Mytilus edulis: one gene and its partner. The protein of the gene in region 1 interacts with the protein of each later gene in a pairwise test. Links are inferred from orthologs where the notes say so. Each region holds a gene or a part of one and is shown on either strand. Other genes may lie near its edges.

Region 1 (7,089 bases):
ATGTATTGTTAGGTTAACAATTAACTAGTCAACCTGAAAAATTTCCAAAACTTCATAATCAATGATAATGATCAATGAATCATGAATGTTTGGTCATTTTAATGCCAGGTCTAAAATTTCACATTTTTCACTTAATCACAAAATGTGGTTAAACTGTTGTTAAAACTATTATATATTAGAAAGTTCACAAAAATATGGTCACACTGGCATGAAATAAAACATTTTATACATTCCTTATAATATAAGTTCCAAATGGAAGAAATATTACAGTATTTGTTTATATAAACAGAACGAAGGTTATAGGATATTTGTTCCAAAAGGAACAAATATTATGGTGTTGTTTATTATCGAGCATCTGAGCTAACAGGGGAACTTTTGTAATGTAGACAAATATACATTGATAACACCATCCTTCTGATCTGTATTTTGGATAGTTCATTAAATCATGAAAAGATGATGTACATACTTTGTATCTTTGTTCTGTACTGAAGTATCCTAGACATCGATCTAACATCAGAGCTTAAACTAAAACATGATCAAAGAACCATGAAATTAAGGTAGCACAATAAAATACTATACATTTTTATAATTTTGATTATAAGAAGGATACTCTCTTGTCTGCGTCTCAACATTTCTGTTTCATTGTAAACAGGTTCTATTGTACTTTCTAACTTCTGTAAACGATTCTCAAAACTATTAAGTATCCCTAGCATACCATGGGTGTTTGTTCTACTTTTGTTCATGGCCTCTTTAAGTATTGACAAATTGTTCTTCTCCTAAAATAATATAATTGACATAGTTAGTATTTATTTTTTTTAAACCTTAAGATTCTTCAGTTGACAGGTCAATGGATAGCTATAGGGTTACAATTATTTGCATGCAGAAATGTATCAAAAGTACCAGAAAATTTTAATAGCTGGGGCCACCCTTAAAACAATGTTTGTTTGGTATTGCCGACTCACACTATCAGCAGGTGGGTACATTAGTTTTGACTGTTTGAAATACTGGCTTCACAGGCTGTTGAAGAGTTACAATGTATGCAAATAATACATAGAAGAAATTATCATGGACATCTGATAGTACAAAGTAAAATCGCAAAAATACTAAACTCAGCGGAAAATTCAAAATGGATAGGTCTTAATCAAATGGCAAAATCAATGCACAAAGGCATCAAATGAATGGATAACAACTATCTTATTCCTGGCTTGGTACAGGCATTATCTTATGTAGAAAATGGTGGATTAAACCTGGTCTTATAGCTAGCTAAACCTCTCACTTGTATGACAGTCTCATAAAACAAGGATGCTATTAAAACATGTTTTCCTTGTGGTAAATGAATAACATGGTGTGCCACTAGTGTAGCAGGACCTGTCTACTCTAACAGGGGACAAGGCCTAAAAAAGCTGCCTTATCCATAGTTATAAGTTAGCTTTGCGTTGTGTGTCTTAAATTCATGTAAATATTTTGTTGACCAGTGTTTGTCATTTTGTCTTTTTTTCTCTTTGACCATACATACAATATGTAAGTACAACTACAACAGCAATTTGTATTTGTCAATTCAAATGTGCTTTATCCTAGAATAATTAGACGTCACAAATCATTTCACAATATCCTTAGACCAATTGGGCAGTTCATTGATTAAATCTACTTATTACATATATATTAGAAACTAGTCTATTGGGAGGCAAGAAACAGATTTTATTTTACCCCATTAATGCAACAAATAACATACTGAAATGTTTCCTGCTACGTAAACATTTTGTACATTGGAGGTTGATAAGGTAGTTGCACCAAATAATTTTATTATTACAGATTGGACAATTTCCATGTGATAAATTATAAATCATCCCTTTGTAAATTTTACGGAAGCCATCACTAATTAGTTGACCGTTATCATGGTTATGGAATATCAATTTCACAGATGATATACATGTAGCAGATATGAGCCTTATGTGGTAAGTAATTTAGTACAAGCCTGTTCCCTTTTCAAGAGTATGAAATACTGCTTTGACTTAAATATGACATGTACATGTATGACCTGGTTTCTACTAACATGAGAAACACAAGAGGTGCCGTACGTGGAGCAGGATCAGCTAACACTTCCAATGCACCCGCGATCTTCTCCAGTTTTTAGTGGGGTTTGTGTCAATTAGTCTTTATTTTTTTATGTTGTGTTTGGTGTACTACATGTAGATTTGTCAGTCTTTTTTGGTGTTATCAGTTTATTAATAGACCAGCAGCTGAAGTGAGCTGTTCCATGTTATCAATACATCGTATCCCTATTTGGAAATATGTCCCGTTTGACCAGAGAATCTGCTCCGCTTGAACTATTGACATCATGTAACAATCACTTTTCAATTGTGGCTTCAGATATTTTGTATTATGACGTCAAAATTTAACAGGAACCTTTGTGATGTCCTGTAATGAGATGCAAATAGTATATATGGTACCTGGGGAACTGGTTCCACTGTCAAATTGTATATAGAAAGTTTGAATGACTGTAAAAGTCCATGGATGTATGTATGTTGAGGGCAGCTAAGAGGGGTCCTGATCCCGAAATCACAGGCTTAAAAACACGAAATCCTGAGGTCCTGAATATAAATAAATTCGAGTTTCAATGTGATCCTGAAATCCTGAGCTTAAAAACACCTGATCCTGGAGTCCCGATAAAGATCCTATCCTCCCACTATGTTGTTATATGAGAGTTAATGTTTTTTTTTCTAGTTCTTGAGTCTGCTTTAAGGTTTAAGTGAAATTGGTTACCCTTTGACTAAAATGGCTGCGTTTTCACCTCAAAATTTGCAATGAGTACAGACAAACATCTGCATCTGGAAAATTTGAAAGTCATAGCAACCTTATGAGTATGACTGATCAGCTGCTGATGGATAGCAAATGTTATGATCCACCCATATAATTTCAATCAAGGCATCATGAAAAAAACTATAGAAAAATCGTACTTTTTCAAGCTTCATGTCGATGTCTGCTTTGAATATCTTTGTCTGTGACATTTTGTGGTCGCTTATTACTCCTAAATGGCAAAACAAAGCAATTTTCTTGAGCTTCCTGGGAAGCAGACAGCTAATTTTTATGCATTCGTAGTCAATTTGATTTTTGTGTAAACCATAACAATTTTCCTTTGATAAAGCATCAAAAAGAGCAAGACTATGTCGTAATATTTTTTTATTTTATTTTTATTAAATACAGAAATATTTTAAGATATAAATGCGTTTTATATTAATTCAAACGGTATATTCAGCCTATTCTTATATGCAAAAAATTAACAATAACAAAACTTTTTTATTTGCAACATTAGCTCCACTTACGGCAAGATAAAAATGGAAAAAAATATCACGCTTTAAATTCGACGTTTAAATGAATATTGTAGTATCAATTGAGCAGGACTACAACTTTTATCAATTTTCAGATATGTTGTTGGTTTCAGTTTAGCACTCAATCCTATTTGCAAGTTACTGCGACTGACAGCAAACTTTGTAACATTATTTTGAAGTTGGTGTCATCACGCAGATACCAACATGGGACGCCGCTCAATTAACACCACTAAAAGTGGGAAATATATGAATCCCACTGACCAAGCCAGTAAGTACCCTATAACTAACAATTTTTTTAATTGAACTTCAAAAAGAAGACTTATAAACACAATTCAAACAAGCATCAACATGTACATTGTACAACGATCCATCAGCACATCGCAAAGAGACATGAGAGAAACATACAAGCATATACTACCCTTGATAACCAATTCACTTTGAAAACTCATAAACCTAAAAAAACAGCCTATATATATATATATATGTAGGACTTAAAGTGCAATGTGGACGCTAAAGTACGATGGTCACGCTAAAGTGCTATGGTCTTTGCTAAAGTGCGATGCCTACACACGCTAAAGTGCGATGGTCAGCGATAGTATAGAAGTAATAAACGTACTATGGATTATGACGTGTCGTTTATACAAAAAAAATTAACATGCTGAAAGATAAACGTAGAATATTTGATTGACAACTTTAGCCAAATGTCCATGACTTACTTAATTTAAACCTACCCGTGCTTTGTCTGCTGATGCAAATGGTTTTTTTTATCGGGTGCTGGAAGAAGGACTTGTGTTGTCACGGAATAGAAGTTCCTTCATAATATAAGTTCCAAAAGGAAAAAATATTCTGGAAGTGGTATAGAATATTTGTTCCAACAAGAAAAGATATTATGACAATGTTTATAACAAAGTTTCCATTGGAACTTCTGTTAGGCAGAACAAATATACGTTGACAGTGTCTTGCATTTTACTATACAGATACAAAATAATACCAGTCTGCACAGTTAGCCACTAGTCCGATGCCCAAGACTAGTAAAATTTTATATGGACTAGTAAGTTATTGCAAAACTTTGTTGGACCAATAAGAAAAATGTTGGAATATTGGTCTTCATACTAGTAGTTGAAAAAGTTTTTGGTGCAGACTGTTATAGCCACAAGTAATAGTATACTTTTTCTTGCTTCTATTAGAAGGTAATGTTAACTGATACATTGAAATCATTGTTTATGTTACAGTTTACTTTGCGGTCCCTGTTAAAATATTGTCAATTTATTGAAAAGTCGGTAAAGTAGAGGTACATGTTTTCATGCATAAATCATAAATTGTCTGCTAAAGCATTATTTTGTACATTTTAGGAAAATACAACCTGTATTTGTACTCGCTGTGAAAAAGGAGAAAGCTCGGAGAACATTGCATTTCTCTCTCATTTGAATTAAGATTTAAACAAATAAATGTTACATGACATGAATGAACGAATTTTGTATTTGTAATTTACGATGACAAGGTGATCACATAAGGGATAGACTACATGTACATGTGAACTGCAAGCTATGCTAATTATCAAAATATTTGATATGCCTGAATTTAAAAAAAAAATCCTACTAGCTTTTGCAAAAAGACTATTAATTAACATCTGTGTTCTTTTTCTTTTTTTTTCCATCCGTGTTCTTCAACGTTTTTTGCCAGTCAACATTACCCTTTTGGTCCATCACACTTCAGTGTGATATTCCATCGAACTTTAGCAAACAAATATCCATCGCACTTTAGCGTGATACACCATCATACTTTAGCGTAGACCATCGCACTTTAGAGTCCTACATATATATATTATAAGAAGTAGATTAACAAAAAAACTGAACCCCAAGGCAAAAAATCCCTTATTAAACAGGAACTTTTGTGATTTTACTCATTGAGAGATAAATTTGCATACAAGTGTAAATACGTCTATCATGTCTATTGGTAAAAGCAGTATAACACCATATTTTATTTTCAAGGTAGTTTTTCGGAAACATCTATTTGTTATCTGGTCATTACTCTATTCTTGGGAGTTCTCTTGGAAATCTTAGGACCCTTATCAAATTGCAAAATTAAAAGATCAAATCCATTAAATGAATGTAATTCCTGACTTGATACAGGTATTTTCTTGTGAAGCAAATGTTGGATCAAACTTGGTTTATGAACTGTTCCCAGAAATGCAAACTGATATCATTTATCCATAATTGTTACAAATTAAAGTTTGGACCAAAATAACTGATTTATGATTAGTACTCTACCTGTTATAGCTATATATATATATATACATGATATATACTATGGTTCATTATCATCTCTGATCAGGCTGATGATCAGGCTGAAAATCAGTGCTGATCAAATATTTTTTCATTTCTCTAAAGAAACATGTATTTGTAAAAATAATAAAGAACAAATTCTTTTCAGTAATTGCCCTTGGATAGATAAAATATGTGCGACACAGGGGACATTGGAACTCTGCTCTTTTATATATACAATGTAGCTTGTTAAAGATAAAACCTCTCTCGTGTAACAGAATAACTAGTAATTTTGTTTGCTCTCTTGATGACTTTCTAAGATCATACTCTTTATCTTACAATGCTTATGTTATTACCTTTCAGTAAGAACCAGTTGTTGGATTATGTCATTTACAACATGTACAACATCTCCGGTTGGCTGGTGCAACTCATTCTTAATGACAGAATTTTTGGGGTTCTATTTATCATGTTTATGAGTGAGTTACATAAAGCATTAAAGAAAAAAATGATTCTTTTATCATGCTGGTTGTTGAAGTAAATTAGTGTTAATGTCTTGTATCATATTTCTATTTTTACAGGAAAAGAGGCAAGAAAGAGGGAATTAAAAAAGGTAACTATTTACCATGTTTACTATAATTTCAGCTTTTAATTTATAAAAAGTTGCTGTTCCCGTTATTTCAGATCAATCAAAATAGCCCTGAAATTTATTTAAAATTTTTAACTTTTAACTTTTGTCCAATGATACATATATATGATAAACAATTCATGTTTTATAGTTTGATATGTATGTCAATTAAAAAATTATTGTAAAATTTGTTTCCCTTTATTTGAAATGATTTATGTTTTAATTGTAGAACAAGAAGCAGCGTATGCTAGTACGACAGGCTGTATTAAAGGGAAAAGATCCACTACAGTTACTGACAGAGATGGAAATTATCGACAAGATGGGTAAAAAATATAAACTTGAAATGATAATTATAGTAGAAATCAAAAACATGTGGTGAAAGTTATTAATCCACACAAAAAAAACTGTAAAAACCATTATACTGGACAACATAGAAATATATTAAAACCTCAAACCAAATTCCAAACACACTCTATAATCCGCTATTCAGTTTTATTCTTGACATCTATCAAATAGTAACAATTGATGGTGTAATAAAGTTTTTTTTCATAAATATACATAATCTTCATATTCAAAGTTAGAATAGCAAAATAATAGAGAAATTATGTATTAATGATAAATAATGTATACTAACAAAATTATAAGTATATACCTGAGGATACCCTAGTCTTAAGGTACTACCTGAGGATACCCTAGTCTTAAGGTACTACCTGAGGATACCCTAGTCTTAAGGTACTACCTGAGGATACCCTAGTCTTAAGGTACTTATACACAGGGATCTCCACTGAAATAGCTGTACAAGTGAAGAAATCTGTTAACAGCATGTGCCATTATATTGTTGTTGAATAAGAAAAAATCAAAAAAATCATAA
Region 2 (7,696 bases), on another chromosome or scaffold:
TAGTTCCTGAGAAAAATGTGACGAAAATTTTCAACTTGGCTATCATGTGTAAAATCATACAAGTGTTCGGTAAACATGAAGTTGTTGAGTGATCAATCTGAAAATGCATCACACGGTATAGCTGACTTAGATAAACCCTGAAACCAAATTTCAGAAATCCTTGTATTGTAGTTCCTGAGAAAAATGCGATGAAAAAAAATATTCATGGGACTGACGGAAGGACAAACAGAGGTAAAACAGTATACCCTCCCTTTTTTAAAGCGGGGGTATAATAAATATTCTACATGTTCTATATCTCAAAAAAATTCAAATAAACCTATAATTATTTTTTCTTTTAAACTTATGGATTGTAAATAGGCTAATGATATTTTTTGAATCTTCATTTTTAATTTGAATATATATCCGCAGCAAATCTCATTAAAGTCACTTCAAAGCATCTGAAAGTTATGAAAGTATACAACCAGACTTAATTAAAACAGATAAACTAAATGTCTGAATGTTTGTTTAATTTATATAGATTGGGTGTTAAAACAGATAAACTTCTTACCCATTCATCTTGTAAAACCTTCAAAATGGCTGGAATACTAGTGGCAGAAGCAGGTCTTGGTTTTACTAGAGGGTTAGCTAAAAATAACAAAATACACTTGTAATATATTATCCAAAAACATGACGAACTAATCATTTACATGATGAATTTGTTCAATCCATTTAATGATCTTTATTGTTTCTTTCTAAAGAGAACACAGATGTTCACATTTACAATGATTTAAGAAAGACTAATATTATCAGAAAGCATATCCTATGAGATAATATTAAAAATCAGTAAATTTGGAATATGCTTTCTCTTTTTTTCTTGGTCTGATGTAAAAAGGATTGGTCAAATCAAAAATTTGAAATATAAACAGGAGCTTTTTATCTAATGTCAGACTGAGAGTTCAAAATAAACAAAACTGTGAAACAAGAATTGATTTACTTTGTAAACAATTTTGTAAATTTCGATGAGGTTAACTAAATATCACTCTACCTATATGTGCTACAGGGGAAAATTGTATGTTGACCTCTAGATGTCTTTCAATTATTTTTGTGATTGGATTATTGTTGCACTGGGAAATACCCAGAATCTTCTTTATTTAAAGTTGTTCACCACTCAGGACGTTGATTCCTTTGGTCAATAAGAATGACTGCAATGACTTTTTCTAAATATTACATGCAAACTTTTACTGCTGCATAATCATGATAATGTTTGAGAGCATTCTTTTTCAGTATTAATTATATTTTCTATTAAGAGTGCATATCTTTAAAACCTCCTGAATTCTGTACCATTTTTATAAAGGGTCCATGTACCTTAATCTTATATTTCAATATACTGTATTATGTTATTAGGTCATTAAATAACCTTTTTTCTCCATTTCATACATCGTTTATGGTTCATGTCCTCCTTTTTTATGCATGTACAGGAATCCTGTAAGTGTATTTTCTTTTCTTTCCTATTACATGTCCCCTTTTGAAAGCATACACTTGAATTTTGTAAGTTTATTTTCATTACAAGTCATGCTACTTACCTTTTATTTCTATGAGTGTTTCTACAGCTACTGATTCTCCATTCATTGGATCAACTCCATTCTCCTTTATATATTTCTCTATCAGTCTTTTCTCATAGACATGTCCTGACACAGGAGATATAACTGGCTGTTCTGGAACTTCATTACTGACTAAAAGAATATGTGTCATTTGTATCAACAATAAGCAATCATTGCTTGATTCTCAATATGTTCTAAGCTTTCTTGATGAGAAAAGCCTATTCTACATGTACTTGTGTGCTTTTATAACCAACTATACAGTATTGTTTTTCTCATAGTTAAAAGCCATATACATGTAATTTCTTACTTCCTATATTATTTGATCTTTGGTGGATAGTTGTCATACACCTTATTGCTATTTGTCCGCCAAAGATCAAATAAATCGGAAGTACTGTATAGTTGGTTATAAAAGGCCCCAACATGAAAATATGAAACAATTGGACATTGGTCATTGCAAAGGTTCCCAGAAAATGTTGAAGTCACATCAGAAAATATCCGACACCACAATGGAAAAGTGATTGTTGTATGAGTCAAAGTTAAACCCATGTTAAAACTTGCATCAAGCAGAATGTAAAGATTTTTGGAAATCGTCTAGAGAAACATTGGAAAGAACACCCAATAATAGGCTCCTTCACGGTTAGTTCAGCCATATTGAATAGGGGGCAGATTGTCACTAAAGAGATAAAAGTAGTGTGAAAAATGAGGGAATACATTGTTAAAATAGAGCAGTTGCTTAGAAACATGCATAGGATTTCCCATACTTTCATACTGTTTCCAACTCTTTGATAAAAATCTGCCCCCTATCCAATATGGCTGAACTAACTGTGGAGAGCCCTATTTAAAACTTTGACACTGAATACACCTATAACACCGGAAGTAGCACAAGTGTAGTTAGTGACGATGAACCAGAGCCAAATATAGAGGATCAAACTGATCTCCTGTGTATGGAAAAACTTAGGTAGACAGGTAGATCTCCGAATTGCGATAAGGTGTTTTGGCATCGTACCGTAATCTCCTTATTTTCAAAAGGCAATTCAAATCATTTAGGTATTCAATTACATGTGACATTTCATTGGTGTTAACAAGATTTCTTTGAGATTGAATGTTTGATGTTACCACCTCAACAAAATGCTCATTTATAAATTTGTATCCATAAGCATCATTTTAATCTACGATTCTCATGCCTGTTTTAAGCCGGCATGGCAAGCATGTTGTTGTATGGTGTGTATTTTGAGAAGTACTGAAATATAAATTGAATGTAGACATTCATTGATATTGTGTTAACTTGTAGCGATTGCTGAAATGCAGTAGATGTAATTGGGATTCGAAATATATGAGAAAACATTAGATTTTTCTTTTTCTTTCTTACTTGCACAGCAAAGCGCCATTTTGAATATGTCACGTGATGAAATTATAAATTCAGATCTATAGTCGGAAATTAATCCGGATAATAGTGTGGCCACTAAAAAAAAGTCCACATCGATATATAAATATAAAAAAAAAATAGATATGATATAGGAAAGCACTAATATCAAAATTTGATGGGTGATTGTTATTTAAGAAAGCTTGTTCTAATATTTAAAGGAAATATTGTTAAAAACTTATGCATGGTGGGGTCAACTTAATTGCCAGTAAAAAGTAAAAGTTCCTTCAGACCCCTCCCCTAGATTTATTTTTGTGAAAAGCGAAGATGTTATTCATCATCGCTTCATTTAATTTTCTGACGAGGTGAACACAAAGAAAATAAAGTGACTGGGGATATTTTTTTGATAAATATCGATTTTACTGGAAATGATAGGACATTTTTTGAGTGGGAACTCTTTTATGTCCACTGACTGTATATCATTTTAGTGACATATATGTCTCGGATATTGGTCAGTCCCAGAAGAATCAATAACCGAAAAGATAGGGGTTTTTTTATTGTGAAAAGACATAAATATGACTTATGTTAAAAAAAATACCAGTCAATAAATTCATTTAAATTCTTTACTTATAGAATCTTTTATTATTCCAATTTCTGATAATCTATAGTGATTCATTTCTAACCATCGATAAAGTCTCAATGCAATCCTGGACTATTCAGTGTACTTAATAGTAATATAGTTCCATCAGTATAGAAGTATATGTTAGTACTGATCTAGAAAAAATATAAACGAAGCATTCTCGTCCCCAAAATACAATGCAATGATTGAACTACAAAGCTACACTACTGGTACAACCGTTACTAACAAAAAGGCAGCGCCTATTAGGGCCAAAAAAAAAAGATTTACTTGAAAGACAAATTCTATTACATGTATGTACCTAAGTATAAATATTAACGTAAAAAGCTCAGTGTTAATTATGGCACCCTAAACGGAGTTTGGGTGACATATTGTTATTCTACGTTTCTTTTTTTCTTATTATTTTATTTATTCTTCCACACATTTTGTCCATGCTATTTCTCAGAATTGGCTTGAACAATATTGATGGAACTATACCATAATGTAGACCACTATATGAAATTGTGCAAACGGGGTATGGCATCATCAAGATGGCTGCCGTTGCCATGGAAACTGATAAAATGTGAAAAAAAATGCAATTTCTAAATCTTTCATTATAAGATCTAGCTGGATGAAATTTTATGGTAATGTTCCTTGGTATGCCTAGATGTTGTGACAATATTAGGAAATCCCAAAATGGCCACCATTGTCATGGAAACAGGGCAAAGGTTTAACATTGGCCCTAAGGGAAAACATTTTGAAGCTGCAGTTCCTGCAAGAATATTAAATCAAACCTTCTACAACTTAATCAATATGTTACATGGCATGTCTCAAAGTTGCTTCTGTCTTTGAAATTTTGGAAATGGTACCCGTAACCATTGAAATAGCAAAAATTTCAAAAATTTCAAAATGCTCCAAAATTGACGAAACTTTACAAAAATGTTAATTGGCATGTGTATATGTTATCTTTGACTTTGAATTTTTCAAAATGGCTGCCGCTCACCTGGCAATGGGGGAAGGGTGCCATCCGTTATTGCTAGCAATTACAAATCTAGTTGACATTGTTTTTATGAATTCTTGTCAGGTGGGGTGTCTTACTTCCGCAAGAAATCTCCATATTTGTGATACAATTAAGTGAAGCGTTTATGAGAAAGTGTCGTAAACAAAGTATAGAAATCATAACTGTCAACGGAGACAAACAAACAAACTGTCTAATACTAGTACATAAAAACAAAAAGCGTTTAAGGCTGATGGAAAAGTTAATATCTTACAATATTTGAAACCTAGATTTAAAAAAAAAAGATTTCTTGTGTTATTTAGGAAAACATGTCTCAAGTCAGAAAGCTCTGGCCTTTGTTAGTCTTGTGTGTATTTCTAATTTTTAGTTCGTTTATATGTTTCGGAGTTTAGTGTGACGTCCATTTTCACTGATTGAGAACTAATATACACAATTTTAATTAGGGACCAGATGAGAACCACCTCTGGGTGCAGTATTTTCTCGCTATGTTGAAGACCCATTGGTGGTCTTCAGTTGTTGTCTTGCTCTTTGGTCGGGTTGTTGTCTCTTTGACATATTTCCACTTTCCATTCTCAATTTAATTATAGTTGATGCCTTTGGTGTTCAGTAGCATCTTTAAGTTCAGTCGTTGTTAAAACACGTTCTTCAGCGATTTTTCTGGAAGAGGAAGTAGGTACGCACTTACTATAATTTGCTCACTGTTGCTATCTCAAAATTGATTTATATCAGTAATAAAGTACTTAGAAAACACAATGCCTCACTCGGCGTGGTCGCATGGTACCGTGGACTGGATCAAACCAAAGACTTGAAACTTGAGTATTTGCTGCTACTCCGCTAGACGCGTGACACCCTAGCTAGGAGTAAGAGCGAACATGTCAGCCTGGATTATGATTAACGTGTCTGGTTAGGGTGACTTGTCTTCCTGAGGACTGTTTTAGATCGTGTCTCGTGAATTAGAAGCTTAAAGTTCGGCTCAGCATGCAGGTCTTGCACAAAGAAGGGTCCATATTCATATCGCATTATAATGTACTCGCCCTGAATATATATTTGATTTGCATGCAATGGAAGTTAAATTTTAACAGCCATCCATATATCCATATTATAAAAAAAAAACAAAAAAAAACAAAAAAAAACAAAAAAAAAAAAAAAAAAAACAGTATTCCGAAATATTTCATCGCGGGTATCATCAGTGAGCACTAGCTCACAGTTTTACTTGTGAAACCTGCTTTAACATGAAATACAGTAAAACCTACAAAAATGTAAAAAAAAGAAATGTTCAGAATCCATATTTTATTTTTCTATATTTACAGAGGGTACCAATTTTCATAGATTAAACCAAAAAATGCATTTTCGTGGATATTTGGATTTCGTGATTTTACAAAAGTCTGCATACAAGTCTATAGAAAATTAGTGGTTTGTTGAACATTTGAATATGTGGTTCGCCTCTACTCACAAAATCCATGAAAATTTGTTTCTTACAAATAATATCGAATCCATATTATTTTGGTTGTTTGTGGAGTTAGGGTAGCCCCTTCTTGCCCTCTCAAAACCATTTAAATGGAATAGTCCTCATGCTTGTCAATTGTAAGAGATCATAAATTAGGCTTTGGTTTAATTGTAATATCTGGTTGCTATTTTGTAGATATTTCATTCTAATCTCCTTTTGTTCATATTGAAGGAGATATAAGTTGACCATTGTAAACTCTCGAAGTGTTCTCAATGTGTTAAATGTACTGGGTACATGTAAAACAGAGAAAACCTACAGAAAAACAGTTAAGATGGTCATATTTTATTTTCACATAAAAACAAGCCTTTTGGTTTATTCATATAACATATACATTAAACTAAAGGCAACATTTTTGGTGTAATACATTACATATAGCTATCATTTCTTCATGAGGCCAAGCAAAATAAAATTAGAGGGCCGTATTGTCCCACTTGATCATAATATTTTATATGAGAACATAATGTACTTTGTTTGTTATGGCTTTTAGAAAGGGCTTCTATTTCAAATTGAAAGTGAAAAAAATAAAAAATTTCCAAGAACACTTTTTTCATACTCATTGGTGGCCGGGTGTGAGAGCATTTGATCTTTAATTTTGTTTGACCTGCGTTATCAACATCATTTGTATGAATGGAAGTGGTAAACATATGTATGATGAGATAGAAATTATTTTATGTTTAGTTTGTTGACTTTTGTGTGTTGTAGTTGTTACAGCAGAAATATGTCAAATACCACCAAATATTTTCATTTTATAACAGTCAGTTGTACTATGTAAAGAAGGAACAATCCATTTTGATATGTAATTCTGTAAAGACAGCTTTGTAATCAAGAATAAACAAATGTATAGTGATGGTTGTTTTTAATGGCTTGAAGTTTGCCTGGAAATTACTTGTTCATGTGAATTTTACAGCAAAAATATTCAAGTGTTAACCAGCATTTATTGCAGTTGGTAAATAAAATAAATTTTATTTATCAAGATATATTTTATAAATCATTATTAAAATCAATATAGCTCAGACTCTATGTTAGAATAACATTTGTTACATAAGAGCAATTTGAATACATGACATTTTCAGCTCTTAGATATTGAAAAATAGAAAAAAAGAAAATTGGTTAAGACATGATAATATTATTTACATGAACAAAGGTATCAGGATCAACAGCTTTATAGATGTACCTTGATAACTGAGCAGTGTTGACCATTTTATATAGCTCTTGATAAGTAGATTTGTCTTCATGCCAGTATGATTTATATTGTAATTCCTACTGTAAGGGGTTTCATACTTGATTGTTGATGTTATCTACAGTATTGTGTCAAAAGTTGCAGTTTTAGGTAAGTGGTCAATTTGTATATACAAATGTAACTGTTACTACTGCTTTTTAACAAATAAACACTTGGTGTTCTTATTGTTCTTATTTTTTCCAAATTTTGAGAGGACTACAGTACAGTTTCAACAAAAATTAAAGATTAGACAATGACGAAGAAAATTGGCGAAGACGCATTGAAAAATGTGCATCACCTGACTATACATTTCTTTCATTTGTCAAAATTTTGAAAGGACTACAGTACAGTTTCAACAAAAATTATAGGATTAGATAGTCTGACCTGGTACAG

Evidence for each region.
Region 2: the proteins of exocyst complex component 7-like (region 1) and pre-mRNA-processing factor 19-like interact in a two-hybrid assay, tested with the Homo sapiens proteins (2 studies listed by BioGRID and IntAct, with this or other methods). The link is inferred for Mytilus edulis from reciprocal best matches to the Homo sapiens genes EXOC7 and PRPF19.

What each region holds. Positions count from the first base shown.
Region 1 is NC_092352.1:1,656,830-1,663,918, forward strand, and holds the start of exocyst complex component 7-like, read right to left. Parts: upstream 3,116-7,089; 5' UTR 3,009-3,115; coding exon 2,958-3,008; intron 777-2,957; coding exon 611-776; intron 526-610; exon of another isoform or gene 467-525; intron 34-466; exon of another isoform or gene 1-33. Other genes in the region: WW domain-binding protein 11-like, read left to right, coding at 3,534-3,597, 6,172-6,203, 6,448-6,541. UniProt on the Homo sapiens protein: Component of the exocyst complex involved in the docking of exocytic vesicles with fusion sites on the plasma membrane.
Region 2 is NC_092349.1:80,858,121-80,865,816, reverse strand, and holds the start of pre-mRNA-processing factor 19-like, read right to left. Parts: upstream 3,010-7,696; 5' UTR 2,969-3,009; coding exon 2,950-2,968; intron 1,713-2,949; coding exon 1,563-1,712; intron 625-1,562; coding exon 548-624; intron 1-547. UniProt on the Homo sapiens protein: Ubiquitin-protein ligase which is a core component of several complexes mainly involved pre-mRNA splicing and DNA repair. Required for pre-mRNA splicing as component of the spliceosome.